Linked DNA regions of Diceros bicornis minor. Each later gene encodes a partner of the first gene's protein in a complex. Links are inferred from orthologs where the notes say so. Each region holds a gene or a part of one and is shown in the gene's direction. Other genes may lie near its edges.

Region 1 (10,121 bases):
GCTGTTTAACAGGTACCTTGAGGTGGGCAGGCCCTGTGCCCTAGCACCTAGACTGGGGCTTCTTGCCCCTCCCTCCCTCTAGGCTCAGAACAGAGGTGTGTACGCACATGTGCACACAAGCGCACCCAGGTGTGAGTCAGGGCCCCTGAATGAGGCCAGGTGGCCCCTGAAGCTGGGGAGGCATGGCAGTTTCCCATCTCTGCCCAGCGTGAGGCTTGAAATCAGAGGTGGGGGCTCATTCCCATCCTCTCCTCTAATTCTCTTTCAGCCAGGAACCATGATCGAGTGGGGGAACAACTGGTGAGTGGCAGTATCGGGGGTTGGGGGGACCCTGCCCACCTGCCCTGCCAAGGCCCCTGGTGGGCCACCTTTCCCAGGGACGTATGGCAAGGAACCCGGCATCCTCTGCCCCTCATGGATGCAGAGAAGAATCCAGCCAGGAGGTGAGGATCTTCTAGAGGATTGTGAGGCCTCCCCTGGTAGAACACCCAGCCAGCAGCTGCACCTCTGTCACCCATCCCCTGATCATCTCTGAGAGCCAGGGGCCATACCTCAGGCTCCTCCCTTGAGGTGTGGCCGAGAAGTCAGCCTGAGGACACCTCAGAGGGCCCTTTGCACCAGGCCTGGCCTCTGCCCCATACTCTTCTGTCATCCCCAGGGCTCGGGCCATCAAGTACCGGCAGGAGAACCAGGAGGCAGTGGGCGGCTTCTTCTCACAGATAGGAGAGCTCTACGTCGTGCACCATCTCTGGGGTAGGCTGGGCACCACCCAGGAGCCCATGCTAGTCCCCTTTCTCCGTTGTCACTCTGCATAGACAATGCAAATACATTAGTGTCCTTGTGGAGTTTACACTCTAGCAGAGGGAGACACCACCTCAGACAAAAACTAACAAAAAGATAATTTCAGATTATTAAAAATAATAAAGATGGAGAAATGATGAAGAAAAACATGGGAACCTGCATTGGCTTGGATAGACAAAGAAGGCCTCTTTGAGGAGGTGAAATGTAAGCTCAGCTAAAGGATGAGAAGGAGCCAGCTGTGAATTGCTAGGGAAGGGTATTCTGAGTAGAGGGAACAACATGTGCAAAGGCCCTGTGGTGGGGAAAGGCCTTTGGCATTTTGAGGTGTGCAAAGGAGGCCGATATGAGTGTGGGGAAGAGTGTGAGGAGACGGGGACAAGCCAGATCAGGCTGGGCCTTGCAGGCAGTGGGGATGAGTTGGGATTTATTCTAAAGGCAATGGGAAGCTGCTGCAGCATTTTAAGCAGCATGCAATGACCTGATTTCTGTTCTAATGTGATTCTTCTGGCTGCCATGTGCTTTGCCGAGAGCGCTTTGTAGAGCGAGAGAGGAAGTGGGGCATCAGGAGATGGTTATACTAGTTCAGGCAGGAGAGGATGGTGGCATGGCCTAAGATGGTGGCAGTGAGGATGGTGAGAAGTCCACTGATTCGTTAGTCTGGAGGTAGAACCAATGGGACTTAGGAGTGAGTTGTCTGTGGGGCGAGGGAGGGAGAAGAAGACTCCAGAACTCCTAGACTCCTGCTTGAGCAGCTATGTGTCACTTACTGAGACCCTACAGGAGTACATTAGAGGGGTCAGGAGTGTAATTTTGGTCCTCGGAAGTGTTACATTTGAGACGCTGACACATCCAAGTGTGGATGTCAGGTGGGCACTGGATATACGAATCTGGAGCCCGAGGGAGAGTTCTGGGCTGGAAATATGAATTTGGGAGTTGTCAACAAATGTACTGATTGGATGAGATTGTCAAAGCAGACAGTGTTTGCTAACAGTCTGAGGCATCAGCGGGGAAGAGACAGCAGGGCAGGGTTTGGGGCAGTGGGAGGAGGGCTCTGTGCTGAGCACAGGATGAAATCCTCTGTGCCCAGGGAATGATCCAGTGCCTTTCTCACAGCCTATAAAGACCTGCAGTCTCGAGAGGAGACTCGAAACGCTGCCTGGAGGAAGAGGGGCTGGGACGAAAATGTCTACTACACAGGTGAGTGCCTCCTTGGGGCGGAGGGGGCGTGGTCAGCCAGGCCCTTGGAGGTCATCTGCTAGGAGCCCTATCTGAGGATGGAATCCCCTCTGCAAGGAGATCTAGCTTCACTTGATTACCTCTAGTGATGGGGAACTCACTTTTAAGACAATTAATTAGTGAGTTTCCATCCTGGTGGCACATTCCACATGAGTCTTATGGCTGAGTGCTCTAGGGGATGATAACATAGCCAGGCAGACCCTGCCTCAGAGAAGTGGAGTAGCTGAGTGCACACTGTAACCTCAGGCATCATTCTTCACCTCACTGAGGCTGTTTCCTCATCAGTGAGATGGCAATGGTGATAGTGCCTCCTTCAGAGGGCTAGAGGGAGGATTCCAGAAGCTAATTTATGAAAAGTGCTTCTCCCAGACTCTGGCACAGAGGAAGCACACAGCAGATTTTTTTGAGCAAGTTTTTTGCTCATAGTGTTTCCCACTTTGCTGGGATCCCTGAGAACCACCTGGAGTCAGTAGGTGTTGATTGAGCCCTCACTGTGTGCCAGGGACTGTGGTGGGCGGTGGCCGGAGCGTGGGCTCAGAGTGAACAGGAACCTGTCCCTGCCCTCGAGGAGCTGACAGTTAAGCTTCCACACTTAGCAGCTGGTGTGGGGGAGAATGCGACTCCTGAAGGAGTTAACCGGAGCCTCGCTCTTCAAAGTGTGGTCCTGAATGACAGTCTCAGCATACCTTGGAAGCTTGTTAGAAATGCCACATCTTAATCCCTTCCCCCCACCTGCTGAATCAGACAGAATCTGCACTTGACCAACAATTGAAAGTAATATGTATGCACGGTCAAGTTTGAACAGCTCTGAGCAGGAGGAGAGAGTCTGACCTCCTGGGTGACCTTGAGCTGACCCCCTCTGGGCGGCAGCCTCCCCATCTGTAAAATGAGGCAGTGTTTTTCAAACCTCAGCTAATTGAGGTCATCACTACTGCTACAATTATTTTCTTGATACTTTTCTTTAAATCCCTGTACTTTATTCTTCACCTAGCCTTGTCCTAAGCAATAACATCTGTGAAATCACTTTTTACTATGCTAGTTGTTTTTTCACATACACAGGAAAATAAATATATAATTCTGAAAATAAAAACAATGTTCATCTCATCACCACCTAAGTCCCCTCTTATCCCACAATTTGGGAAACCTGGCGCACTCCATGGGCCCTTCCAGGAGGGCAGTGGGGCTCTTCCTCTGTCAGCATCCCCGGCATCCTCCCTCTTCAAAGGCCAGTTTTGGGGGTTGGCTCGCCTCAGCCCTCTCCGTGACCTCTGCCTCTCTCTCCGCAGTCCCCCTAGTGCGACACATGGAGTCTCGGATCATGATCCCTTTGAAGATCTCACCTCTCCAGTGATGTTGTGGCTGCCTCCACCTCCTTCCCCTTCTCCCTGAGGGAAGCCATGGACAGAAGAGCTCCCAGTCCTGCTGTCTTGGTTTTCTCTTGGATCTGAGAGGACTTGTGGGGGTAGTGCTCAGCTCATACAAGGGGGAGCTGGATGACAGGGTTCTGAGGACCTGCAGCTCTGCCAAGACCATTGCCACCTTCCCCGCCCCCCCTTCCCCAGTGCTGGAAGCAGTTTTTAATTTCTCTGAATGAAGAACAGCCAACTTTTATGTCTCCTGACATTTCCCCCTAAGATTCCTCAAGGCCACCAGTCCCTAATTATCACCAGGAAGTCCTCATCTTAGCTTTAAGTTGCACAAAAGGTTGTGTGTCCAGTGGTTAGAGGTGGAGTGGGAAGGGAGGAGGTCAGACCAGGCCAAGCATTCAGGAATTCCCTGGTCTCCACTGGGGCACCCACTTTGAGCCAAGTCCTTCCTGATGGGAAAAAGCCTGGAACAGCTTCAAGAAGCAAAGGGGAAAACTCTCAAGTTAGCAAAGTCAGCAGGAGGTCCAATTCCACCCAGAAAGGCTGGGAAAAAGGATGGGAACCAGGAAGGACTTGGGGGCAGGAAACAGAATGGAATGGGAACCCAGAAGGTAGAACTTACAATTCAGAACTTGGGTTTGAACTGCAGAATGTGGAATACAGAGTTGGGAAGATAGAACAGAGGTGACAGAAGACTACTTGGGGAGAGGTTCCCAATACAGGACAGTTGGAGAGAGGCTCGTCTGTTCTCCCTACATAATGAGGTTGAGAACTTGAATGTGTAGTTCTAGCCCTTCAGTGCAGGGAGAGTCTTCTGCCCTCCTGTCTTCCCTCCTGCAGGCAAGGTACAAGCCAGGGCTTGTATTTCCTGCACTCTGCATTCCTTTTTCCCCTCTTCACATTCTCCTCATTCTGCTGGGCCACTGGGTGTGTGGAGTGGGGTCAGTGACTTTGGGGGCCTCCTCAGTGACCCCTACACCTCATGAACCTCTGGGTAGCTTGATTTCTGCCTCCTTGTTGGAAAAACTTGTGTTGGAGTTGCTGATGGAACCAATTAAATATTTACTATAAACCACAGTGTCTTTTCTTCATCTGCAAGGAACTTTGGCAGTTGCCTGGAGCAGAGCTGAGCAGAGGTGGCCAGCTTCCCTGTTCCTGGCTGATCTACCCCCCTGGAGGGTATTGTGTTCCCTGAGCTACTCTTAGGGAGGCTTCAGCCTCCTCCCATGGCAGAGGGAACTGCCCTGTTTAACCACAGATTCAGGACATCAGTGTTTCTCCCTCTAGATAAGTAGGATTTACACCAAAAGTCCTGACACCTGTCTGTACAGTTCATCCCAGGGGTAGAAAACACTTGAGGGTGTCAAATGCTGCATTAGAGTTGTGACTGCCCTTGGCAAATCGGGCCTAAAATAGGGGAAATTATTGATACTTCTGTGGGAAAACCAAGTGTAAGATGGGATTAATGCCCTCCCCAACTTGCTGCCCTCACTAGTGTGGGATGTTAGGGTGAATATGACAGTGGTTAAGAATCCCAGTTGTATGCCAGCCCCGATGGCCTAATGGTTGAAGTTCCATATGTTCCACCTTGGCGGCCAGGGCTGGTTCCTGGGCATGGAACCACACCACTCATCTGTCAGTTGAAAAAAGAGAGGAAGATTGGCAACAGGTGTTAGCTCAGGGCGACTCTTCCTCTGGGGGGAAAAAAATCCATGTTATGGAGGCAAACCCACAGGAGTTCAAATTTCGGCACTACCATGCTCTTGTGTTATTTTGGGCATAACACAAATTCATTCAACAACTACTTGGCAGAGCATCTACTAGTTGCTGGGCATTGCTTTAGGCGCTGGGGAAAGAGTGAATGACGCACATAAGAGTCTTTGACCTCGCAGCCTCAGTTTCCCACCCTGACAACCCACGTGACACCGCCTACCTTGCTCCCACCCCGCCCAGCCGCTGCCTGCACCCAGCAACTGCTGCCGTCTGGGGCCTTCCCGCTTCACTTCCGCCTCCACGCCTCGCTTCCGGCCGGCCGCTCCTTCCTTCCGCTTCTCTATGGTGCGCGGGCTGCAGTCTTCCTCTTCGCCGGAAGTGGCTCGGTTTCCCGGGCGGGTGCGGGGCGCCGGTCGGTGAGGAGGGGACGTGGTTGGCGGGGACGGGCGGCGAGGCCGGGAGGCGGGGCTGGTCGCTTGGGGACTGAGGTGCGGACAGTTCGGAGGGCGTCCCCGGGCTGGAGTTCGGCCCGGGTTCTAAGTTCTCACTCCCGCGGGTCCCCGCCCCCTCGGCGCCGCGCCCTGTCTCCTCTTGTAGAAAATGTCAGCTGCAGCATCGTCAGGCCCCACATTGTAGCCTCGAGATGATGACGGTGGTGGCGGTGGTGGTGATAGCTCACACTTATTGTGCGCTTATATGTGCCAGGCACTCTTTACTGTGTTGTCAGAGTCGGGATTTCCCACACTTAAACGCCTTTCCGGTGCCACCTTTGTGGGTTTTGCAAAATTACCGTGTATGACTGTTTACTAAAGGTTTTTAATCCAGTCACTTTTTAAATTTAAATGTACGTTAAAAAAAATTTTGTCTCTACCATAAATGGAAGACTTCTTGTCATATGCAGAAAATAATGATAAAAATTAATGTATTTAATATGAAAACAGATCTTTGTTAATGATTCTAGCTAGGTTTCATTGTCTAAGGCTCTGAGACGGTCCTTTTGTTAACAAAGGAAGGTTGGAGTTCATAGATGTTAAAGACTAGGAAAATGAAATGTTCTTCTTGAAGCAATCAGAAGTTTCTAACAAGAATTGAAAAGGGATTACCTTTCTCCTTAGGTGTTCAACATTAAGATCACCCATGTGCCATCTGAGGCCAGATCATCTTCATCACCTTCCCCAGTGGAGTGCTGCCTGTGTTTCTGTCCACAACAACCCCTGAGGTAGGGACTGCTGTTCTCATTTGATCTGTGAGGAAACAGACCCAGAGGAAAGTGAAGTGACTTGTCCCAGGACTTGTAGTCACAAAATAGTAGAGTGGAGACTCCAACTCAGGGCTCCTCTGACTCTACTACGGTGAGCTGTTGGCTCTCTCAGGAGGTGTTAGGGGTAAGGGGGATAGTACTGCCCACCAGGGGCTGTGGTGACAACCAGGAGAGGTAGCAGAGGGAGAATGCCTTGTGACCGTAGAGCCCCGTGAAATGTAGGTTTCGTTCTTTTAAAGTTTAGGGTTAACCAGGGAGTTGATGGCATCACCAGATGAGGTGGTGGCAAGACTAGGAGGCACAATAATGTAGCTGTCAAGAGCACTGGTGTGGCATCAGATGGACCCAAGCTTTAGCATATTAATTATGAGACCGTGGGCAATTCATTCACCTTTCTCAGCCTCTGTGTTGTCGTCTGTAAAATGGACTTGCTCTTATCTGAAAGGTTTGTTATAAGGATCAAATGAGAACATACTCATAAAGTGCTTAGATCAAGGTCTAGCACACAGTTATCAATCCGGAGTATTGGGAATGGGCTTATATGCCAGGCTGAGGAGTTTGGCCAGTGGAGTGGGGGTGGTACCTTTAAAGGAGATGGAGGTGAAGAAGATGAATTCGTTTTGGACAGGCCGAGGGATGATTCCCCTTTTTACAGAGGATTAAACTGAGGCTTTGGAGGGTTGAGTGACTTTTCTTGAGTTACCAAGCGTGTAAGTAGCCAGAACTGCTAGTTAAACTTAAGTACTCTGACTCCAGGAAAATCGGTTCCAACTCTGGAAAATCTCAAAAACATTCTTCTCTTAACAGGTCTCTACTGTTTCCTCCTGACCTCATCAAACAACCATGTCTTCAGAATCAAGCAAAAAACGGAAACCCAAAGTGATCCGAAGTGATGGAGCTCCAGCTGAAGGGAAGCGTAATCGTTCTGACACTGAGCAGGTGAGATCAGCCAGGGCCGCCATGCTGCTGAGAAATTGCAGCTCGTGGCTAAACACCTGGCTGTGGGTTTGCAGCACCTGAGGGTCATAGGAACAATCTCCCACATGGCCTCTGCTTGACCAAGTCAAGCCTGGAATTCTCTTGGCTCTGCACAACTTGAGTATCCACATCAGGTTTAGCTTGGGCATCCCAAGAACCAACAAGCCCGTATGATTAGTGCATGAACAGAGAATGCATTTTAGTATGGTGTGTCTCCAGTTTTCCTGATGGTCAGAAGACGGCAGTCCATCTGCTGCATGCTGCTGGAGCTTTGGAGATGTGGCATCCCTGGTCTGCTGCAGAGACACTGTCAGAACCACATGCCTGCAGAACCTCTTTTGTGGCCTGAGAGCTCACGTGGTCAGCAGGTTCTTCTCCTTTTGCTGTTTCTCTGTCCTTGAATCTGTCAAGCTAATTTATGACTTAACTTTTGATTATTTGATTGGTTATATTTTTTGTTTTTTTTGTTTTTTTTGCTGAGGAACATTCACCCTAAGCTAACATCTGTGCCAGTCTTCCTCTATTTTGTATGTGGGTCACCACCACAGCATGGCCACTGATGAGTGGTGTAAGTCCGTGCTGGGGAACCAAACCCAGGCTGCCGAAGTGGAGCGCGCCAAACTTAACCACTAGGCCACAGGGCCAGCCCCTGTTTTTTGTTTTTTAAACTGGAATAGAGAAACATACCATCTTAAATTTAGATAGAAAGTGATGCTTTCGCCAGATTTAGGAAATCAAGATTAATGAAGAACCTTATCCTTTTGGGGCATTGATTCTGACTCTCTTTCTCTTTTTTTTAATTGAGGTATAATTGATGTATAACGTTATATTAGTATCAGGTGTGCAACACAATGATTTGATGTTTGTATATATTGTGAAATGATCACCACAATTACCATCCATCACCATACATAGTTACAAAAAGAATTTTTTTTTCTTGTGATGAAATTTTTTTTTCTCCCCAAATCCCCAGTGCATGGTTGTATATCCTAGTTGTAAGTCCCTCTTGTTCTTCTATGTGAGCCGCTGCCACAGCATGGCAACTGACAGACAGGTGGTGTGGTTCCAAAAGCAGGAAATGAACCTGGGCTGCCAAAGTGGTGAGAGCACTGAACTTGAACCACTAGACCATCAGGGCTGGCTTGTGATGAGAATTTTTAAGATCCACTTTCTTAGTGACTTTCAAGTATGCAATACGGTATCATTAACTATAGCTCACTCTCTCTCAAAGAGATGTGTTCTGTTTACTCCAAAGGCTGGGAGGTCAATTATGATATTTTAGTCTCTGCTAAATCTTGACTTGACCATTTAAACACCCATCAGTATGAATTTGGTTAAATCAGTTCTGGTTCATCTCTGTAGTAGACTGTCATGCAGCCATTTTTTTAAAAAAATTTTATTTATTTGTTTATTTTTGTGAGGAAGATCAGCCCTGAGCTAACATCCGTGCCAATCCTCCTCTCTTTGCTGAGGAAGACTGGCTCGGGGCTAACATCTGTGCCCATCTTCCTCCACTTTATATGGGACGCCGCCACGACATGGCCTGACAAGCAGTGCGTCGGTGCACGCCTGGGATCCGAACCCCGGGCTGCCAGCAGCGGAGCGCGCGCACTTAACCTCTACACCAGGGGACCAGCCCGCATGCAGCCATTTTGATGGAGATCTGTATTTATTGGGATGGGAAATTATACTAAATAGCATGGACAGTATGATCCCATTTTGTTTAAAAATAAAATTTGTATTTATCCATAGTATTAACAATGGCGTTATTTCAAGCTGGGAAGAAGTGAGATTACAGGCAATTTTTCATTTTGTTTTTGATGCTCCTCACTATGTTCCTCTGACACCAAGTATGCATTACTTTATAAACAGAAAGAGGAAAAGACCAATTCTTTCCCATTTTGAAAAGAAGAAAAACATTTGATTTGAGGACCATGATCCTTTAGAGACCTGATCTGAGGCTTCATTGTTACCAATTTCAGCTAGTGTCCCTGGTCTGAACAGGGAGACTTTTACCCCTTACCCAAGGCCTCTATCCTTGCCTCCACAGGAAGGTAAATACTACAGTGAGGAGGCTGAGGTGGACCTGCGGGACCCTGGCAGAGACTACGAGCTGTACAAGTACACCTGCCAGGAGCTGCAGAGGCTTATGGCCGAGATCCAGGACCTGAAGAGCAGGGGAGGCAAGGACGTGGTAAGCAGTGGGGCTGGGCAGACATGAAGCTGGTGGCTCTGCATGGATGGAGCTGTTTTGCACCTACCAGAGCTCTTCCTGATTTTAGTCTCCTGTCTTAGCTGGGATCAGATGGTTGGAGCCTAGGGGCTCCAGAGACCTGCCTATTAATTTATTGGAAGGTCTCACCACCACTCAATCACAAATTATAGTAATGAAAGTACAGGATAATTGGTTTTTCCATAACTGTAATTTGATAATTCATCCACCTGTTACTAAGTGCTAGGCATTTTGCTGGGTATTGAGAAATGATGGTACATGTAAGTTCCTTTGCTGTTAGAAGGATAGATATATCCAAGTAAATCATAGAGACTAGAAATGAAATTATCATTAATATTAAATGAATAAACCAGGCCTTAGGGCAGAGAAACTAAACAGTGTGACTGAAAACTGGATGCATAAGTTCGAAACAAAACAGTCCATATTTTTCCAGGAATCTCACTTATTTGTGCTTAGCCTGGCCAATATTGTTACGATTATTACATCCTATCTATTTTATTATAGCCAAGCTTTACAGCTATAATTCTGTAAT
Region 2 (10,710 bases), on another chromosome or scaffold:
CCAACTCTCTCTCCACCTACATCTCTCCTCCCCACCTAACATCTTTCTCTTCCTCTCTTTTCATTTCCTATAGCCCATCTTTCAGCTCTGTTTATGTGTCTTGGCCTCATTTTCTCTTTCTGTAGATGGGCTTTCTCCAAGGGATAGGGAAGATGGCAACATGAGCTCAATATTCACCACAGCCCCTGAGGTGACAGAGAATTGTAACTGGGCAGCCAGTATGACCAATGGATATTATCCTACTGGCTGCTTGGCATCCAAATACCCTTTCCAACTGAAAGGAAATCCCAAAACAAGGCTCTGCAGCTCACTAAAGAGGCTGAAAGCAAGGAGGGATGGGTGTAACTTCTCCTGTTCTCTGGAAGCTAAAGCATGAGCACAAGACCTGAGTGTAGCCAATCAGATACTCCTGGCCATGACCTTGAATCTAGAGGAAGAGGTGCAAAGGTTTGAGAGCTGGAGATTATGTAGGATAGCTGCAGCAGCAAGGTGTGGTGGTGAATGCTCAATGATGTGGTAGCAAGTGTCCAGGGCCCACAGAATCCAGGAGCAGAGCCAAACCATTAGAGATGGTGTTAGTGGGGTCATCTTAAGACTGAAGCTATGTCTTACTTCCATTGAGGGCTGCCCAAGCTTTATCTCCAGCCTTCTACTTGGTTGTGTGAACTTCCTGATTCCCTCTCAATAATTTACTTCTCAAAACACTAACCAGAGTAGGTTTCTAGTGTTTATAAAAAAGAACTCTAACTAGTACAGCAGACGTATTTTCCAGCTGCAGAAGAAAAATTTCAAAGACTTATTGCTAGCCAGCCCTGGTAGCTAGCCACCCACAACTGTTTTGTCTGTTACAAGAATGGGGTAAAGAGGGGTGGGAATGGCAAGTAAGGAGTGGAAAATATGCTGAGCAGCCCCTGCAATAGCTATTAGGACTGAACAACTTGATTTTCATTTATAAACATGAATACATAATGAAAAATCACCAGTCATATGAAGGAAATCAGATGCTCCAGAGTGGAAGCAAGGTGACTAATGAAAGCAAACGACTCTCCTCTGAAACAGTTTATGCAAAAAAAAAAAAAAAAGAACTTTTAAAACAAACTTTACATGTTCAGTGAGATTCCAGAGGCTGTAGCATGCAGTAGAAGAAAACGAAACTCCAGAGAAGTGCAAGGTCCTAAACAATCTGGCCCTGTCCATTTCTCCAACCTCATTTTCCACTGCTCTCCATCTTCCTCACTATGGCCTTCTTTCAGTTCTCAAATATGCTAACCTTCTTCCTAACACAAGCCACTGCACACACTGTTCTGTCTACCTGGAATGTTCTTTCTTGCCTTCCCCTGCCAAATCCCACCCTCACAAATATACAACTAATTCCTTTCCACACTTTAAGTTTTAGCTTCAATATAATTTCCTCAGAGAGGGCTTTCCTGATAACTCTATTTAAATACTGCCCAAGCATTCTCTATCTCAGTCTCTCATTCCTTTGATTTTGAGTGACCTTGGGACTAAGTTACTTAAGCAGTGTTCACCTCAGGTTCTTCACCTGTAAACTGGGACTAATAGAGAGACCTACCTCATAAGGTTCCTGGGAAGATTAAATGAGTTCATCCATGTAAAGCAATTAGAACTAAAGCACACAACAGCACTCAACAGATGCTATTATTTCCTTCATAGCATTTATCACATAGTGAAATTCTTTTATGTTTTTATTTACTTTATTAAAAATCTGCTCTCGCACAGATTAAAAGTTCCATGAGGTTAGTAACTCTTCTGTTTTGTTCACAGTGCCAGGCTCATATATATTTGTTGAGAATAAACAACTGAAGAAAATATTATCTGAAAATGAATAAAATATTATTATATCAATATGTTAGGACAGTGTGGTGGTCATATAATGCTCCGCTCAGATCTTTTGCTGTGGGGAGTATAATTGACTGACAGCTTTAGCTGTTAACCTCTGGATCAACCACATTTGCACCAAGGCCAGGCTTTCTGAGGGCTGCTTTCTAGTCAATGACTGAACATGGCAGAGGTACTAGTGCAGGTCCATTCTGGCAAACCACGGGACTCCTCTAAGAAGAAGTTTGGCCTAAGGACTCGCCATTGGCAAAGTCAAACCTTTCTTGGATCTGCACTTCACTCAGAAACTTCCTACCTAATCTTCCTTCCTTCCCTCTCTCCTTCCACAGGTGTCAGCCCTGCATTGTGGTCTGCAAGCTCTCTTTCCCTGCCTGCTCCTACTGACTCCATAATAAACCTCTTGCACATCTAATCCTGTGTTGGTGTCTGCTTCTTGGTAGACCCAAACTAACACAATTAGGACCTCCAGAAGCAAACCCTGAGGTGAGAATTCATGAGCAAATAATTTACTAAGGTGCTCTCAGGAGAAACTAGTAAGGGAGAGGGAAACAGGACAGGAAAGGGGAACAAGCCAAGCAATGCGCAATTTCAGGCAAAATCTCTGCCTAACCCTGCAGGGAAGCTGGGCTTACCGTGGCAAGAAGTCACTCACTATTCTCTCTCTCACCTTGAATTATGTTCACGTATTGTGGTCCAACCAAGCTCACCAAACAGGCTTTTTCAATGTACACTAAATAATGATGTACAGTACTTACAATTTAATAAAATAATAATACTGCGTATATAATCCAAAAATATTCTACCTATGGCTGGCAGATGGTAGGCACTCAATATGTGTTGAATAAATAGTACAATATTAATATAAAATGCTTGAAAATTGCCACCACCCTATAAAAAAGACAACACCCACACAGTTTTCATGTAATTTCTCTTTTTCCACAAAACTGTAAGTCCCAAAATATACACAAAGTGCTATCCTTCTTCCATTTTTATTCTTCTCAGTTCCATTCCTCTCCCAATGAAGGAGTCTCATTTTTCTTGCTCAATTTTGCTTTTTGCTCAAACATCAGTTCCCTGTCAATATCATTATTTCAATCCACTCAAATTACAGAGAGAGAAAAGGGTAAAGATGGTTAGGGCCCAGAACTTGAACCAGCAAAAGCTGCAATTCAACATCCTAATGTGGTTGACTGATGAGAATGGAGCAAAAAGTTTCCTTTTGCCTGGGCTAGAGGATAAGGACTAGAACAAAAGCAGATGAGGCTGCCTCCTTGGTCCTTTTCTCCTAGATCTCACCACTCCAGTGGTAACCTGAATCCAAGTAAGAGCACAGCAAGGAAAAGAAGAGGAATGAAGATGTGAATGCTTGGCACTGAACTAAACCACCCACCCTGGAATTTCCAATGGAGGGTATCTCCTAACAGAGAGGCAGTTCCTGGTCCATCTTACCTCACTAGCATAAGAGGAAAAACCAGTGCGTAATAAACGTAAGCAAAGAGGTTACATGTTATTGGATGTCTGCCCTTTGAACTTTATTATTACAAACTTTTGAAAACTTATAATTCGTTGTTATTGATGACAATATGATCCTTACCCTTATCCAACTGTAAGGAAATAATGTATGAGACATTAAGATAGGAATGTCTGTTGGTAAAGATTCAAGAGTTAAGGATTAAAGGTAGGCTCAAATCCCAAACTAGCTTTCTCTAGCCATGTGACCTAAGACAGATGAGCCTGTTTCCTCACTGATAGATAACTATGTACAATGCTGTTGTAAGGCGTAGAAATAATACAAGAAAAGTGTCTGGCTCATAGAATGTACTCAATAAAACTTGACAATTACTTACAACAGTATAACATGGTGTAAAGAGCACGAAATTTGGAATCAAAACCCCTGAGTGGTCTCATTTTGCCAATTACCTCTATCAAGAACCATACCTCTTTGAGTTTGCTTCCTTGTGTGTAAAATGGGCATAATAGCTGTATTACCCACCTCAAAATATCATTTAGAGGATCAAATGAGATACTACATGTTAAGTACACTGGGAATTATAAAGATTTTTTAACGTGATCTAAATGCTAAAATATTTTTTACTGCAGTGATTTTTGTTTTTTGTTTGTTTGTTTGTTTGTGAGGAGATCAGCCCCTGTGCTAACATCTGCCAATCCTCCTCTTTTTTTTGGTGAGGAAGACTGGCCCTGGGCTAACATCCGTGCCCATCTTCCTCCACTTTATATGGGACGCCGCCACAGCATGGCTTGCCAAGCAGTGCGTGGGTGCGCTCGCAGGATCCAACCGCCGCAGTGGAGCGCGTGCACTTAACCGCCTGTGCTACCGGACTGGCCCCTGCAATGATTTTTGAATGACATCTTTTTAAAATGCATTACTACTTCTTTGCTTTATTAAATATAATCTTAGGGCCAGCCCCATGGCTTAGCGGTTGGGTGCGCGCTGTCCGCTGCTGGCGGCCCGGGTTCGCATCCTGGGCGCGCACCGACGCACCGCTTCTCCGGCCATGCTGAGGCCGCGTCCCACATACAGCAACTGGAAGGATGTGCAGCTATGACATACAACTATCTACTGTGGCTTTGGGGGGAAAAAATAAAAATAAATAAAATCTAAATATAATCTTATCTTGAGGTCTCAAATCATACTGATGTCTATGATGTCTTAGCTCTTTTTAATCTATCTAGCATCAGATTGCTGCTTTTTAAAAATAGGTTTTATTTTTTATTGTGGTAAAATATACATAAAATTTGGCATTTTAATCATTTTAAGTGTACAGTTCTGTGGCATTAAGTACATTCACATTGTTGTGCAACAATCACCACTATCCATCTCCAGAATTTTTTCATCATCCCAAGCTGAAATCTGTACCTATTAAACAATAACTCCCCATTATCACCTGATGATTGCTGCTTTTTTCCTACTATTTCTTTATCTGGTATTGCTTCACTTGGTAGCAGCAAAACAGCTCACTTTCTCCTCCCCCCAAAATATACTGCTGCTGTAACTTAGTAGGAACCATAAAAGCCATTTTTAACCCACAACATTCTTTGGCCTCAAACATTAATACAATCTTGTTCCAACTTGACTTTTCAGCACTATTTCTGTTCAGAACCCAAGGTTAAAGTCAAAATAAACAGCTGTCTTTCACTATGTTTCCTCCCTTCCATACCTCGGCTCATACCATTCTCCCCATTTGGAATGTCTTTCCTATTTACCTCTTCCCACTCTTACCTATGCCTATTGGAATTCAAAGTCCAGCTCATATTCTATCTTCTCCATAAAGGCTCCTTGACTACCTCATACAGTAGTGATCTCTCTCCTTTGATCTCCTACAGCAGTTATTACCTAAATTACTCACGATAGAAATTGTATACTGTAGTTGTTTCTTTTATGCCAACCAGAGCTCCTCAAAACAGGAATTAAACTATATTATTTTGTTCAATCATTTGTTCATATATTTATTATTCATTCAACAAACACTGTCCACTGTGTATAAAATGGCCAACAAATGTTTGCTGAATAAACAAAAATTCTAAGTCACTGGGCTTTGATGGACGAGTCAATCAACTCCAGCTCTTCTTATGTTTGGGTTTTGGTAAAAAATAATCTTATATACCTCCCAGGTCTTAATTGTGCTCCAGGTAGCTAATAATCATCTGTAACATAATAATAATCCTATTACACTAGCTACCTATTAAATCAGCTAATATCAGTTTATTTTGCCTCTTTGGAAATTTAAGTCATACAATCAAACCTGAATGATTCTGCTGATTCTAAAAAAGAGTGCCGTGCTGTAGGTAGCCATCACTGTTATCAATCCCCACTTAGGGGCAAAACTAGGCAAAAGTATCTTTTTGTTAGCTTCCCGTATTCTCGTTGGATGTCAACGAGGGGAACAATGTAAAGCGCACCTAGCTTTCTTCATTTAGGTACACGTGGAAGGGAATAAGAGCTGGCAGGAAGTTCCTCGTATTTGGGTCAGTGCTTCTTTCCCCACAGCACAATGCCAACTGAGAAAGTTACTGACAGTTGGCTTCTCATAACCAAGCCTCTCCAGTGAGAGGAGACAAAGGAGGAAACTGCTGAGGAGACAGCGTTTTGAAACGGGTGCCTCTACCTGGACGCGGCGCCCACCCACTTTCCAATCAGAGCCGAGTATGGCATTCCTCCCCGGTCTTGATCGTTCAGTAGAGACCTCCACGTGCCACCAAAGTTAACTGAGTCCAAGATATTAACAATAAGTTATATTGCTTTACAAGCCACACTTGCCTTCATGGTTTCATTCGCGCTTCTCAACAGCCCTGTGATACAGGCATTATTTCTATGTCACAGAAGAGGGAACTGCTCCTGAGCCACAGAGCACTTGAACTACAGGGCTGATACGTAAATCCGGAGCTGAGACCACTCCTTCGGGGAGAATGACTGAGGCCCGGCGGTCCCCGGCCACCGCCAACACTTGCCCAGATAACCCGCCTGCCTTGGATTCTCGGGCAGCGGTTACCTTCCCGCGCGGCGCACTGAGCCGTAACTAGCCGCCACCCTCCCGGCTTCCCCAAACCGGGAAAACCACCGCCGGTGCGCGTCCCGGCTTAGGGCCCGCCCGGCAGCGCAGAGCTTACAGGACGAGGCAGCCCAAATGCCGTCACCCCAAGGGTACGCCACAAACCCGGACTAGGCTCTGCGCGGCTGACTCAGGCTTCCAACGCCCACCTGAGTGGGCGGTCCCCACAGAGTCTCCGGACTGGCAGCTGGCCCCCCCCTTGGCTCACACGCCGCTCTAGCCGTGCACCGAGCCGGCAATCTCGTTGCTCTCGGCTTGACGTCATCAGCGGGCGCCACAGCGCGGTGGCGGGCCAGCGCAGCCGGGAAGATGTCTCCGACGCCGCAGCTCTTCAGTTTGCCCGAAGCGCGGACGCGGTTTACGGTGAGCGGAAGGCAGGAGGGGGCAGGCCTAACCCAGGGCTACTCTTTGCCCTCCTCTCTCTGAAATTACTCAAATTTTGCCCTGGGATACAGTGAGGACCGAGGCGTGTACGCTGCGGCGTGGGCTCCCGGCCCCGTCAGGGGCTGGAGGTGGGAAAGACGCTTTACCTGCGTCTTTCGCCAGTCCTTTGCTGTCCGCCTCCGCTCTCCCGCCAGCGGGCCCCGGGACCCTGATGTCTGGGCGTCTTGGAGCCCTGCGTGGAGGGCTCATCCGCAGACTACCTCCGGTGCGGGCCAGCTCCTCGTCAGTGCTCGCTTAGCGGGGCAGGTGTCTCCGGAACTGGACGGGGAGCTACGCGGGGCGGGGGGGTGTGCGGAGAGGCGGGCGTGGTTTCAGCCCAGAGAACCGGCTCCTGCCCTGCCTCCTAAGCTGCCAGGTGGTTTTTCCGTCTGTCTGTTCCCTGCACTTGTAACTCTCAGTATCTCGCTCCTAAGAGATCGATGAGGAGATCCTAAGTGGGAAGAGGCAAACAGATCAGCTTGGGAAAGGTTGCCAGATGTTATTTTATTCTTACGCTTTGGGGAAAAGCAGTTGGAGCTTTGGGAAACACTTTACAGAGCGTTTTCATGTTGGCTTATTTAACTCTTACAATAGGAGTGTGAAGTAGGTAAGTTTTATTATCCGTTGTATATGAGAGAAAAACTAAGACACTGCCCCCCCCAAAGTTAAATGATTTACTTCACTGATTTTTCTGACTTCAGACCCAGTATTCTTTTTATATTGCCCATGATAGCCCCAAACATGAAGAACTCTGTTCAAAATTGTTTGACTGTATTTGTCTTTAGCATTTGTGCCAATATTTCAAGTCATGAAACTACTGATTATGCTTAACTATGCTCATGTAGTTGTAGTCATGCCCGAATGAAAATTCTGTGAAAGAAAATTGATTCTTTGTAGTCAGTAGTTTTCTTGTGTTCAGGTATTATTTTTTTCATACAGTGTGGTGTTTGTTTTTTACCAAATTATATGTTGTTTATGTTATCAGAATCGTTTTCCTTCTGTGCATTTTGCTGTAATCCCTGGTGCTCTGAAGTTCTGCTAAGAGTAACTTGAGGAATCTCCAAGATCACATTAGTCCTGGAAGGGACCATTTAATTGGAGATCATCTAGTCCATTGTTTCTCAAGTTTCCGTGTGTAGTGGGATCACCTAGAGATAAATTGTTAAATGTAGATTCTGGTTCAGTAAGTCTAGAATGGGGCCCGAGATTCTGTATCTCTAACAAGTTCGGAGGTGATGCCACTGCTGTTGTAAGGATCTACAACATCCCTCTTAGTTAACTGGAGAGGAAAATGAAGCACAAAGAGATAAAACGATAGGCCCGAGATTACACAGCCTATTTACAGTATAAATCTAACTCCTATGAGGCAATAAGATGACTTTGCAGGTGTATGTGAATTTTCACAGAATGAATGACTTTGCAATATTCTTGTCTTTCAATTATGACTACTTTAAGACAGTCAGCAGGGACTGTGCTGATCAAGCTACCTAAAGGAGGTAGGACTTGAGATGGGTCTTGAAGAATGGATAGAATTTGGACGAGCAGGTGGAAAGAACAACATGAATGTATGAATACCCTTGAGTGAGCTTGATAGAAACTGATGAAAAAACAGCTAGACCTTAGTGGAAATTATGTTAGGGTGTAGTGGGAAATAAGATTAGATAAAGTGAGTGGGATAATATTATCAAGGACCTTGAGAGTGAGCTATGAAACTTCAAAACCAAAACCTGTAAATAGAGAGCCATTTAGAGGTTTTTAAAAAAAAAAAAGCAGAATACTCTCATGAATGTGATATTTAAAGAGATGGTAGGAGGGAACACCTGTAATAAGAAAGTCTAGCTAGGAAGCTCTTGACAGGTTTAAAGTGATGAGAGTCTGTATCAGTAAGTGGCGTTTGAATAAGAATTACTGATAGAATGATTGGTAGGTAATTTTTCCCAGGTAAAAATATTTTTTACTTAGACATACTATTGATAAGTGATATGGTTTTCAGTAAATAATAAGCAAAATCTTTCCACTTATTTCCTATTTTTATTTTTCTAGAAGTCTACCAGAGAGGCCCTGAACAACAAAAATATCAAGCCATTGTTGAATACCTTCAGCCAGTTACCTGGCAGGTACGGCATTGACATCCATGAAATATGCTTGCCTGGATCTTTGTACTTACCTTGAGCTGTTTAAAAAATGCAAGTGTCTTTTGTTTTTTAATAGTGAAAATGAAAAAAAATGTACCCTTGACCAAGCTTTCAGAGGTGTTCTAGAAGAAGAAATTGTAAGTATGCTTATCCTTTATTAAAATTTTGCTGGCAAATTAATAAACTAGTTTTTAATAAAGCAGGTTTTTTAATTGCTTTTATTTTTAGAATGGATATTTAAACATTACTTTTTTTAGAGTGAGCTTGCTACTTTGTGAAAGCTGACTTGATAATAGTACAGGAATTATGTAATAATTAAGGGATTCAACAGCACAGGTGCAATTTAAAGGTTTGGTTTAATAAATGAAGAAAGCCCTCTGCAGTGAATATAAGAAAAGTTGACATGAGGTCTTACTTAGCAAGAACTAGAAGTTGAAGGTGAGCCCTCTCACATTGCTCTATCAACATCCTGTAGTGGCATGAAAGGCCTAGCCTAAGGATGTTCAGCATGGGAGCTGGGATTCATGTGCTCATTTTCTTCTGGCATCCTCCTCATTAGTTTGCATTCAAAAAAAACTACAGCCTATCCAACTTCAGTAGAGAATTTAATCTAAACATGAGCAGTCTGAATTTATTTACCATTAGTGGGGCACTCAAATGAAAGGAAAAGTCTCAGCAGTTTATTCTTGGTTAAGCAAAGGCTGGGTCCCGAGAAGCTAGATCCTTTTCTAACAGCCATAATACAGTGTCCCTTTCTTTCAGACAATTCTGGATCAAAAGTCATTCTTCCTCCTCTTCAGACATAACTACCTGTCGTGAGCCATTGGGCAACTTACTTTGCTTTTCTGAGCTCAATTTCATTTGTAAGACAGGCAATACCATTCTTTCAGGGTTGTTGTATAAAACAACACTTAATGAACACTCAATAAATGCTGGTTTTTATGATGTTATAGAACCTAAGCACTACCTCCCTTCTATTAAAACCCTCCCTCAGACATGCTGATGCCCCAGTGCAATTAATTCCCCTGGCCCTGCCTTCGCCCATGCCATTGATTGAGTTGTGAACCTTAGCACTTCTGTAGTTGATTAGCTTACAGCCTAAATCATGCTAACGTAAACATTTTCCTAAGACTGTTGGATTTTAAGTGAGTCTCCTGCTTATTGTTTACTTGATATACTTCAACAGTTAGTGACTCTGTTACCATTCATTTTTGTATTTTCATCTTAGAAAGTAATTTTATCTTCTATAAGAGACATTTTTATCCCATATTTGTAATAATCAATTTAATGTCAGAGGGTATGTTTTTATTGTTATCAGATTAGTCTGAACTCTGGCCCCTAAATTAAGTTGTTTTCTCCTCTGTTGGTAGATAAATCATTCGTCATGTGAAAATGTTTTAGCTATTATTTCTCTTGCTATTGGGGGAGTAACTGAAGGTAAGTATGGTTTTCTTTTTTTAAAGTAATTTTGGACATGACATGCTTTATTTAAAACTTAGCTAATTTTGTTTCTCCCCATATCTCCCCACCTAACTTTGTTCATTCTTCAAATTCTGCCTACCACCTTTGCTAAGAAGTTGTCCCAATGAAATTAGCTCACACTTATTTTTCGTCTTTATTATGCAGCACACATTTTGGCACTTCCTTTGATCTCCAGTTGTTTTGTTCATTCAGCAAATATTTATTGAGCATCTACTATGTGCCTGGTACTGAGCTAGGAT
Region 3 (10,022 bases), on another chromosome or scaffold:
CCCCACCTCTGGACTTGATCTCCCAAAGCCACTTCCTGAATCCCTGTCTGAGCGGGCTCCGGGAGAGGGACGCGGGAGACCAGGGAGAAAAAAGGCTCCGCAGGCCCCTCCAGGGTTAGGGGGATGCGACTCACCGGGGCAAGGAGCCGGGGTGCACGCGAGCAGGAGCCGTAGGGCTGAGGTTTATAAGCCCCTCGGGCGGGAGGAGACAGCCGCTCCCAAGCCCGGAGGTGTCGCGTTTCCGTGGTTGATTCTGAAGAGAGCAGACCGCCCAATCACGCTTCTCGCCACCACCACCCCCCTCACCCCACCCCAGCAATCAGGCCTTGAACCCTGGCCCCCCAACCCGGCCCACGCGCGCCCCCACTTGGTGGAGGGGCGGCCCTGCCTGGAGCTGCCCGGAGCTGCCTGGACAGATCCCACTCAGCTGGTGTCCTAGGGTCCCATCCCTTCTCGTACAGGGAGCCTGCTGCCCCACCACACCTGCGTCTAATCGGGAGTGTGTCTGTTGCCGGGAGGGGGGCGACTGCAGATGGAAAGAACCAACTGAGGGAGCGCAGCACTGAGAGCAATCCAAGAAACACCACACAGGACCCCTCAGAATGAGATCCCGCAAAGGACCCTGCAGCCCAAGACCCCCTCAGAGGATCCCAGGCTCTGACTCCACAAACAGAGGGGGATCCAGGCTGAGACCCCAGTAGAGGAGACCTTGGATTGAAATACCTCAGTGGGGTCTCAGACTGAAACTCCTCAGGGAGACTCCCAAGACTAAATTATTCAGAGAGGACCCCTCACTAAGACCCCTCAGCGGGCTCCTCCTGTTCCCTGCCTAGCAGCCACAGCCAGTACCGCAGGGGGTGGCAGGCAGGCCTCTCAGTGTCCCTCCCAGGACTTTTCCCACCTCCCTTCCTCCTGGGCCCTGCCTGTTGAGGCCCAGCAGTGGGGGAAGGCAACAGAGGCTAAAGAAGAGGACACAGGGCAGCCTGTTCCAGCCCAGGAGACAGAGGGCGCCTCTGTCCTCTCCTGGCCCCTTGCCCCACTGGGTGTCCGTCTGTGAAGGGGTGGAGCCGGTGGGGAGGGGGGGTCAGTGGGGGAAGGCAGGCTGAAGACAGGTCTCCCCACACAGCTCCGGGAGCCACATTTGCAGCTTCAGCTGTCTGTCCAGAACCTGCTCCCACCTCAGGCCCAGGCTGACAGTGAGTATTCTGCCCCATCCTGCCCTGGCCAGCTTGGGGGAAAGGGGACTTCAGCGGGGCTCCAAGAGTCTGGGGACAATGGCATCGTGGTGCACTGAGGGACTGGAAAGTATGCTGGTGACTGCGGTTTGGGATTTGAGGGAGACAGGGTTTGGAGGGTGATGAAGGCAGGCAAGTGAAGGTCAGAGGGAGATCTGGGAGCTCAGTGAATAAGGAAGCCATTGGGGAACCCAGCCACCAAGCTTCCAGGAGACCAGGCCCTTCTACCACAGAGCCCTCAAGTGTCCTCCCAAGGTTCCCTCAATCTCCCTGAGGCTGGCAGGGGACCCAGCCCTCGCCTCACTTCCAGTGGGGTAAGAATAAGAAAGCAGATGGAACAGCTGCTTCTGCCCACCCCTGCTTCAGCCTCGGTCTCTCTGCCACCCCCACCCAGCCTTGCCAAGAGCTCAGGTTCCAGGGAAGTCTGGGGGGGGAGGGCAGAGCATGGACCGTGTGATATCAGGAAGAGGGGGCACTAGGATACTGTACCCAACCCCAACCCTCCCTTCACGTGAGTCCCCTTTCTCCTCCTCCTCTTCCTTGGCCCAGACCTCCAGATTCTTCTTCCCCTCAATTCTTTCCTCTTTGCTTTCCCATCTGTCCCCTCCCTGCCCAAGTCCTTTCAGAATGGCCCCTACACAAAATCCCAGGCTGCTCAAGGGCTCCAGGCAACCTTGAGGTGCCCATCCTGGATGGGGCCGATAACTTAGCCACCAGCACCCCTCCTTCACATACCCCCCTTATCCCCGCCATCAGCCCAGCTTGGGTTCCATCTCCCCCATGTCTCTGTGACAACTGCTTCTCATATCCGGAGTTCAGGTGACACTCACAAGGGCCCCATTGAAGAGCTGGGATGTCATCTGATCAGGGCCCATTGTCCAGCCCATCAGGCCTGGGGAAGGATGGGGACACCTGATCTGAGACACCTGAGCTGCCCCCTGAGACCATGGAGGGGCTGATTGTCCCAAGGCCAAGGCAAAGAGGCCCCTGCTTGGCAGTCCCTCCTCCTCAACAGACCCTTCCATTTTTCTCTTCTCTCGCAGCCCCTTGAACTCAGAGGACCCGTGCACTCAGCCCTTTATCTCCCTCAATACATTTTAGCCCATTCTCCCTGCTGCCACTGTCCCCACATCAATTAGGTCAGGCTGGGGGTGGGAGTGGCCAGCAGCAGGGACAAGTCCCACAGGATTCCTCTCCCCCTTCCTGGGAGCCCTGACTCCAGGGAAAAGGCTCAGACATTCCTCTCTCCCTTCCCACCACCACCCGATGGAAGGGCTGATTCTGCAGAGAAGTAAAAGGAACAAAACTAGAAGTAGTAGAGGTGAACCCCAGGGAAGCCAACGTAACATGTTCAGGAGAGAACAGACTTGAAGGACCAAAAGAGGCCCCCAGTCTGCTGACACGAAGTTCAGAGGCAGTGAGACCCGCCCCACCCCCGTCCTCATGAAACCTGGGGCCAGACACTCAGGCTGCCACCCTCTCCATCAGGCTGACCGAGGGCACCAGACTGACTCCTTGCTAGGGATGGGCAAAAGAGACAAGGCTATAAAGGGGAGCCCAGCCATCACTGCCAACAGCAGAGCTTGGCTGTGCTAGGCAGGCAAGGTCCAGCATAATAACAGAGCCAGAGGAAGCCTGGCCAGGTCCTGTGACCACCCCCGCCTGCCTGCCCCACCCTCCTCAGTGTCTGCCCAGGCAGCCAAGAGCCACTGCAGACTCCTCTGCAGGCCTCCAGAGCCAGCCCATCTCCAGCTGCTCTACCTCCATGCCCCAAACCCTGACTCCCTCTTGCTGGGGTATGGATTGAGGGACACAGAATACAGGTCTGGATTTAGGTCTGTTGGGTTCTCCCACATCGTAAAATCTCAGTGAAGGATAAATTTCAGTGGAGCTCTGATCTCATGGCTATTCGAGCTATGGGACCAGGGCCATGGCTAAGGGCTCCCCTCTACTGGACCACAGATACCCTGAGCTTGGTCCTCAGCTCACTTCCATGGTGGGGGTGGGTAGGTGAGCTGCGCAATGGGCTCTGAGCTGGAGACGGCGATGGAGACTCTCATCAATGTGTTCCACGCCCACTCGGGCAAGGAGGGGGACAAGTACAAGCTGAGCAAGAAGGAGCTGAAAGAGCTGCTGCAGACCGAGCTCTCTGGCTTCCTGGACGTGAGCACAGAGTGGGGGTATGGGGTGGAATGGGCAAGGGGTGGGGGAACAGAGTGGGCACCTCTCTGCCATCTCCCCACCCCACCCCAGCTCAGACCAACCATCTCCTTCCTCTCCCAGGCTTCTCTCCTGGGTTTTTCCAGGCTCCCCTAAGTCAAAATGCCGATTTATTGGTCACCTGTTAAAAGTGCTAGACTCTATGTAGATGCATCGATAACAAGGCTCACAGTCTAGAAGGGAAAGACTGACACTTGGAAGTAAACCATGAACACCAGGAAGTGACATATTCAGGAAAGAACAGAGTTGAAGGACCAAAAGAGGCCCCCAGTCTGCTGACAGGAAGCTCAGAGGCAGTGAGACCTTCCTCCCTCTGAAGCCTTGGGCCAGCCACTCAGGAAGTACGCAAAGCCTGAACAGAAGTGCCAGAAAGGCTTATGGGAGAATATTAACCTGACTAAAGTAGGACAGCTTCTCCAAAGAGGTGGCACTTGAGCTATGGATTTCCATCGCAAGGTTATTAAGGTAAATGTAGGTATTTTAGGAGGAAGTAACTGCATGAACAAAAGCATAGGAGAAAGAAGAATATGCAGCATGCTATATATAGTAAAGGAGAAGCCAATAGAAAGTGTACCAGCTTTGAGGTTTTATTAGACGTGGGTTCAAATTCTGGCCCTGCCACTTTCTAGCTGTGTGACTTTGGGCACATCATTTAACCACCAACTGTCAATTTGTTTCTTCTCTAGAATGGGAATAATGAAACCTACTTCATACTATTTGTGTTAGAATTAAATTAGACAATGCTTGTAAAGCTCCTAGTGTAGTGCTTGTGGCATTGTAGGCACTCAACATACGGTACTTGACGTTGTTATTGTTACTCTGCCTTGTTAAGGAGCTTATTCTGTAGGCAACAGGAGGCCACATGTGTTTTGTTAGTTTTGAGGAGGGGAGCAGAAGAGTCCCATAATTAGTCCCTCTTGTTCATCTCTGCCTCCTTCTCCCCAATCAGCCACCTCCCTTGCCCCTGACTCAGTGCTATTCATCTCCCTATACACCTACCTCTCCATCTCTTCCCTCCACAGGCCCAGAAGGATACGGATGCCGTGGACAAGGTGATGAAGGAGCTAGACGAGAATGGAGATGGGGAGGTGGACTTCCAGGAGTATGTGGTGCTGGTGGCTGCCCTCACAGTGGCCTGTAACAACTTCTTCTGGGAGAACAGTTGAGCAGACAGCCCCAGTGGGCAGCGCCCTTCCCCTCCACCCTGCCATACCTGCCCCTTTGCCCTGCTTCCCCCTCACCCCACTTTCCCCTCCCCACACTCCCACCCTTGCCCCTCCTCCAACAAGGGCGCAAGAGTAGTGGGCCAGGCCTGCAACTCATGTTTCATTAAAGGCTCCTCTCTCACCAGCTGCTGTCTGTCTCCTATGGGGTCTGCAAGTGAGTGGGGAAGTGAAGGCTGCTCAATCCCAGCTTGCCTTATTGGGGGGGGGGGGTCTTATTTGGAGAGAGATCAAGGGACCATTACACCTTCCTACTTGAGGAATGCTCATGGCCCAGGAAGGTAGGGGTTCAAAGTTCCAGCTGGAAGTACAGGAGATGTCAGCTTCTCAGCTATAAGACAGAAAAAGAAAGAATTTCCCTTTAACCTTGAAAGAATAGTTCCTGAGGACCTACCATGTACTAGACATTGTGTAGGAACTGGGGATACAGCAGTGAACAAAACGCGACCATTACCCTCACCTAGGTAAAGTAAGGTGGAAGGATGCTAGACCATTAAACACACACAGGAAAATGCTAGGAAAGAAAATGAAAGGATCCTGAAGTGCCTGTATGGGGGGGAGGAAGGGTCGAAGATGTGCTGATTTACTCATTCTTCAAACATTTGAGCATTTTATTGTGCACCCAGGCATAAGAAAAATCCTGTATAGGTCTGCATCAAAATTCAGCATGGATGGCAGATGGGGAGGGAGGACATGCAAGGGGATGCAGGCACACAAAGGTCCCCCCCAAATAAGGATTTAACAATATTCAGGCCAACTTGGGGAGGGAAGTGAAGAGGAAAATACGGAGGGCGTGTGGTGACTGGCACAGGCTCCAGTAGACGTGTGCTCCCAGCACCGGCCCCAGGCTGTGGCTGGGCCGTTTATGACACTCCACAACTCTGAACAGGGCGAATGATGACGAGAGGAGAGCCAGCGCTCATTACTCGGCCCGGTGGTAAGGAAGAGACCGAGGAAAGCCCCGCGTAAAGAATTTTAGACGGTCTGCCTTGGCTTGGGGAACCGGAAAGAGAGTGAAGAAACACGTAAACCTTTTTCATCAGGACCAAATCCGCTCTGAGCCGCCCAGATCTCGAACAACCCTGCCTCGAAAGCGAACCCTTCGCAAGACCCAAGGGCAGGCCATTGGCCACGCCCCTTTGTGGGCGGGGCACGGGGTGTACCTCAGACAGGGCCTTTGCTAAAGCCCCGCCTTCTCACTAGGGCTCCGCCCCCATCTCTGCGCAGGCGTAGCACAAATCTTCCCGCTCCCTAGTCGTGTGCGGACCGGACGCCTGACGTAATTGCGTCGGCGCCATTTTAGCCGGTCCCACTCCGCACTGGGCGTGGCGGCCATTTTGTTTTGGACAACGAGCGGGAGTTGGCGGCAGCGGCTGTGGTGGCACCGACGAAAGGCAGGCAAGGGCAGGCCGGGCGAGCAGACGGACCGGCCGACCAGACAGCCAGCCAGCAACAACGAACTAACTTAGCAGTCTACCGCTTACACACCTGACCAACCGCCCACAAGTGAAGCCGAGCCCCTCCACCGTCTGCTCAGGTTCGGCCGGCCCCCGGCCCGCCCGCCGCAGCCGTGGTGGCAGCCCCGGGAGGAGCACTGGCGTCTGTTTCCTTCGGTACGTGTTTGTGGTGAGAAGGAGGGGAGAAGTCTTGGGGAGCGGAAGGGGCCGGCGGACGCGGCACGGAAGGCGACGGCATGTGGAAGCAGATAGGGTGTCGGAGTGCGGGGGCCCGGGGAGGGGGCGGAGCCCCTGCGCGGAGGCGGGGGAGCGCCCGCGCTGGAGACTGGTGGCGGGGCTGAGGGAAAAGGTTGGCGTTTGATAGGGCTGGGAAGGAAGATGGAGCAAACTTGGCCGTGTTGACAGGGCTTTGAGATGGCAGGGAGATGAAATGAGGACAACAGGATTCAGGGAAGGTTGGGAAGTAATGGGGGCGGTAGGGTTACATTTTATAGAGCGCGCTCTGGGAGCTAACTCCCAGGTGAATGCCCCTTTAGGAAACCTTTCCTACTCCCTCCCCCGGGTCCCTAGTCCCTTGCTAAGGCCCTACTTGGGAGTCGAAAGCCAGGTTGAAACTAGTTATGCCTGTATCATCTTTCTAGACGAGTGGTTCTCAATTTGGCTGCACGTGAGAAGCGCCTAGGAATTCCGCTTTTTTTTTTTCTTTCCAGTTGCTGATCCGCAGACCTCACCACCAGAGACTGTGGTTTAATTGGTTTGAGGCCAGGCTTCTGTATTTTGTGTGTGTGTGTGTGTGTGTGTGGAAGATCAGCCCTGAGCTGAGCTAACATCTGTGCTAATCCTCCTCTTTTTGCTGAGGAAGACCGGCTCTGAGCTAACATCTATTGCCAATCCTTCTCCTTTTATTTTCCCCAAAGCCTCAGTGCATAGTTGTATGTCATAGTTGCACATCCTTCTAGTTGCTGTATGTGTGGGACATGGCCTCAGCGTGGCCGGAAAAGCGGTGCGTGGGGATCCGAACCCCGGGCTGCTGGTAGTGGAGCGCACGCACTTAACCGCTAAGCCACGGGTGGCCCTGTATCTTTTTTTTAAAGCTCCTTGCAGGCAGGGTTGAGAAGCACTGCTCTAGATTAAAAGCCAAACTCTTATACTTCCTTTAGCTAGGTCTAAGGCTGCCATTTTGGAGGCTTTGGCACATATTTTCTGTCCTGTGGCCTTGAAGTTTGTTAGTTTGCGGTAACTGTCTTATAAATTTAAGCACCCAAAATGAGTTCGAGTGTGATCTTCAGTAGTCATTGATACAAGCCTTTTCATTCATTGTGAGTGTGGGCCTTTGGCCCTAGCAGAAATGAGGTGGTTGTTATTCTGATTTGCTCTTTGTGCCCATTGTCCTTTTGTAGATTCTCGGGATTTGAAGATGGCTGCACAGTCAGCGCCGAAAGTTGTGCTAAAAAGCACCACCAAGATGTCTCTAAATGAGCGGTGAGGCAGCCAACGGCAACTTCAGCTCGTTCATAAGAAAACATTACTTAAATTGGCCTTGGGGTCCACTGCACAAAAACCGGTTTTAAACTAAATACCAACAGAAGGCTACAGACCTCTGTTCTTAGTTGCATCTTATGTGGTACACAAAACAGATTGGGCGGTTGTTTCAAAACCCCTCATCAGTAGATTTTTATGTTAAGCTGTCTGAGATATTTATCTGGTGGGATGTATTTTAAAAAGACTTCTCACACCCTCCCTTTTCTTCACATTTTTTTACGTTGATACAGGGGTGGTGCAGCTCGGTAGCATGGTACCCTGGCTGCAGTAGGCTTGCTGCCCAGTCCAAGGCCAGCAGTGTTGTGTCTGGCCTGTAAGAGGCAGGTAGCAAGCTATGAATATGTCCAAAGGCCCTGGAATGTCATTCTTGGGCCTTGTAAGAGGCACTTGCTTTGCTCCATTTCACTTTCTTTCCATTCTGCTTTAAGTTTGTTTTTGTTTTGGATTCTTTCACAATTAAGTGTTCTTCTCTTCCATTCCATTAAACTTACCTTGACAGGAATAATAGAAGAATGTCTTCACAAGCTCTTAAATGATTGAACGAATCACACTTTTTCAGAAGTAATCATTTGGAGTCAGAAAAAGTAATCATTTGAGGCTAAGAAAAGTTAAGGTATTTAACAGCAGTTTCTATCTCCAGGAGCTTTGTTCATTCAGTACCTTTGACCAGTGATTTTATTAAGTTGATGTTAGACCCCTGAAAGATTTCCCCAGTGTTTATTTTTGCCTTTTCTGAGGCATATGTGCTTCTTAACTCTTAGGGTATGATATACTAATTCTCTGTTCACATGTTACTAAGTGAACAAATATATAAGAAAATGTGATACACTCCCATAATATATATGAGTGTGTTATTTCCGTGGGCTTTGAAGGTGCTCTAGTCCTTCCTTATATTTGCCCTTAAAATACTCCCTCAGGTCCCCCAAGGTTTTGGCTTTCTTTCTTTGTCTTTGAAACTACATCTTCTGTCTCTTGTTGTCATCTTATCTGCTTATTGCGTGTTTTTCATGCCTTCCATCTCTCTAAAAGCCGTTACCTGAGCCCTTGTTATCACTTTTGATTGAATGTGCTGCACTTAGCTGCATTTCTAAGTTTCTGATTCTTGCAAGTTTGTGGAAGCAGAGGAGTCTTTAACCCACATCAGCCTTGATCTAAGTGTACCACTTTACTTAAAAGTTCGTGGGATCTGGAGCTCCTGGTCTAGCAGGCCATGAAAATGCCAATAAATGTTTTGTAATAAAGCTTTTATTTAAACATCCATTTTGTTCGACCTTGAAGCTTTACTAATATGCTGAAGAACAAACAGCCGATGCCAGTGAATATTCGGGCTTCGATGCAGCAACAACAGCAGCTAGCCAGTGCCAGAAACAGAAGACTGGCCCAGCAGATGGAGAATAGACCCTCTGTCCAGGCAGCATTAAAACTTAAGCAGGTGAGAGAATGGATCTTAACGCTCCAGAAGCAGCCGGTGATCTCTGTCAGGCAGTCCACTGAGGCTGTCAGGACGTGATGGATGATTACGAGGTGGCTCAGGGCAAAAGCTGAAACTTCTCTGGAGGAAAGAGAAGTTCAGAGAATTCCCATTTTGGCAGGTACCAAAAAATAACTTTTTGTTGTCTTTCTCTTTTAGGGAGTTTGCCTGTTTCTGTGTTATCAGCGAATATCACTCTCTCTTGTTTTCTGGTCCTTTGCCCTTAAAGTAGATTCACTGGCTTTTCACACAAAGTAATTTTGCTTTCTGTTTTACATGATCTTCAAAAAATCTTCTATTCTCTGTTAAATGGTTTACAAATTAGGGAAATAATTTTATCCTTTCTCCCTTAGTTCAGGGAGTCTGAATGGCCTTAGTGAAAGGTTTTCAGTGCTAAAATATAGAAAGAATAAGATGACTTGAATCCTACTGCACCTAAAGTTTTGTCAGTAAAGTAGAGCGAGGGCACTGAGTAATTAGTTTAAGTTAGTGGGTTCTCTTTCATATTTCCGGTAAGAGATAATCCTATTCAGACCTGAAATAAAACCTACTCTTTATTATTCATAGACTTTATATGCAAGTCCGGACAGTGGCTGTGGAAGGATATGTCCAAGCTGTGGCTGGACGTCTGGAGGGCGGTGCCATGCAACTGTAAGGACTTTAACTGGTAGCACTGCATGGCTGTGCATAAATTCAGCAGTTAAATATAACACCCTCCCACCCCCACCCTGAACCATTGGGCTCACTGACCAAAAATAAACAAGGCCTTCTGCTTCAGCTACCTTAAGCCTTGGAGTGACTGCATTCATCCCTGACTCAGGAAAGCAGTAAAAGGCACCACCATTTTCCAAGAATAAATATTAAAAAATTGCTG

Evidence for each region.
Region 2: the proteins of THOC5 (region 1) and THOC1 are in contact, whole or in part, in a cryo-EM structure (PDB 7APK), measured with the Homo sapiens proteins. The link is inferred for Diceros bicornis minor from reciprocal best matches to the Homo sapiens genes THOC5 and THOC1. Residues at the interface, in NP_001002877.1 of Homo sapiens: Tyr52, Arg113, Lys120, Asp124, His127, Leu128, Gln131, Asn132, Leu134, Tyr135, Glu136, Met138, His139, Thr145, Lys146, Glu149; in NP_005122.2 of Homo sapiens: Glu60, Arg145, Arg146, Leu147, Ser148, Ser150, Gln151, Lys285, Met286, Leu289, Val296, Tyr297, Phe298, Leu302, Ser304, Leu307, Leu310, Gln311, Ser313, Asp314.
Region 3: THOC5 (region 1) and CHTOP share a complex: the UniProt entries of both Homo sapiens proteins name them as parts of the transcription/export (TREX) complex. The link is inferred for Diceros bicornis minor from reciprocal best matches to the Homo sapiens genes THOC5 and CHTOP.

The regions. Positions count from the first base shown.
Region 1 is NC_080774.1:23,158,210-23,168,330, reverse strand, and holds the start of THOC5 (THO complex subunit 5 homolog), read left to right. Parts: upstream 1-5,460; 5' UTR 5,461-5,533; intron 5,534-6,232; 5' UTR 6,233-6,336; intron 6,337-7,185; 5' UTR 7,186-7,221; coding exon 7,222-7,317; intron 7,318-9,406; coding exon 9,407-9,550; intron 9,551-10,121. Other genes in the region: NIPSNAP1 (protein NipSnap homolog 1), read left to right, coding at 269-300, 659-753, 1,915-1,998, 3,324-3,388. UniProt on the Homo sapiens protein: Component of the THO subcomplex of the TREX complex which is thought to couple mRNA transcription, processing and nuclear export, and which specifically associates with spliced mRNA and not with unspliced pre-mRNA.
Region 2 is NC_080755.1:14,298,803-14,309,512, reverse strand, and holds the start of THOC1 (THO complex subunit 1), read left to right. Parts: upstream 1-6,688; 5' UTR 6,689-6,740; coding exon 6,741-6,794; intron 6,795-6,961; exon of another isoform or gene 6,962-7,109; intron 7,110-8,897; coding exon 8,898-8,971; intron 8,972-9,065; coding exon 9,066-9,126; intron 9,127-10,359; coding exon 10,360-10,426; intron 10,427-10,710. UniProt on the Homo sapiens protein: Component of the THO subcomplex of the TREX complex which is thought to couple mRNA transcription, processing and nuclear export, and which specifically associates with spliced mRNA and not with unspliced pre-mRNA.
Region 3 is NC_080743.1:57,859,099-57,869,120, forward strand, and holds the start of CHTOP (chromatin target of PRMT1 protein), read left to right. Parts: upstream 1-6,000; 5' UTR 6,001-6,291; intron 6,292-7,535; 5' UTR 7,536-7,552; coding exon 7,553-7,617; intron 7,618-8,955; coding exon 8,956-9,109; intron 9,110-9,715; coding exon 9,716-9,799; intron 9,800-10,022. Other genes in the region: S100A1 (protein S100-A1), read left to right, coding at 3,258-3,398, 4,478-4,621. UniProt on the Homo sapiens protein: Plays an important role in the ligand-dependent activation of estrogen receptor target genes. May play a role in the silencing of fetal globin genes.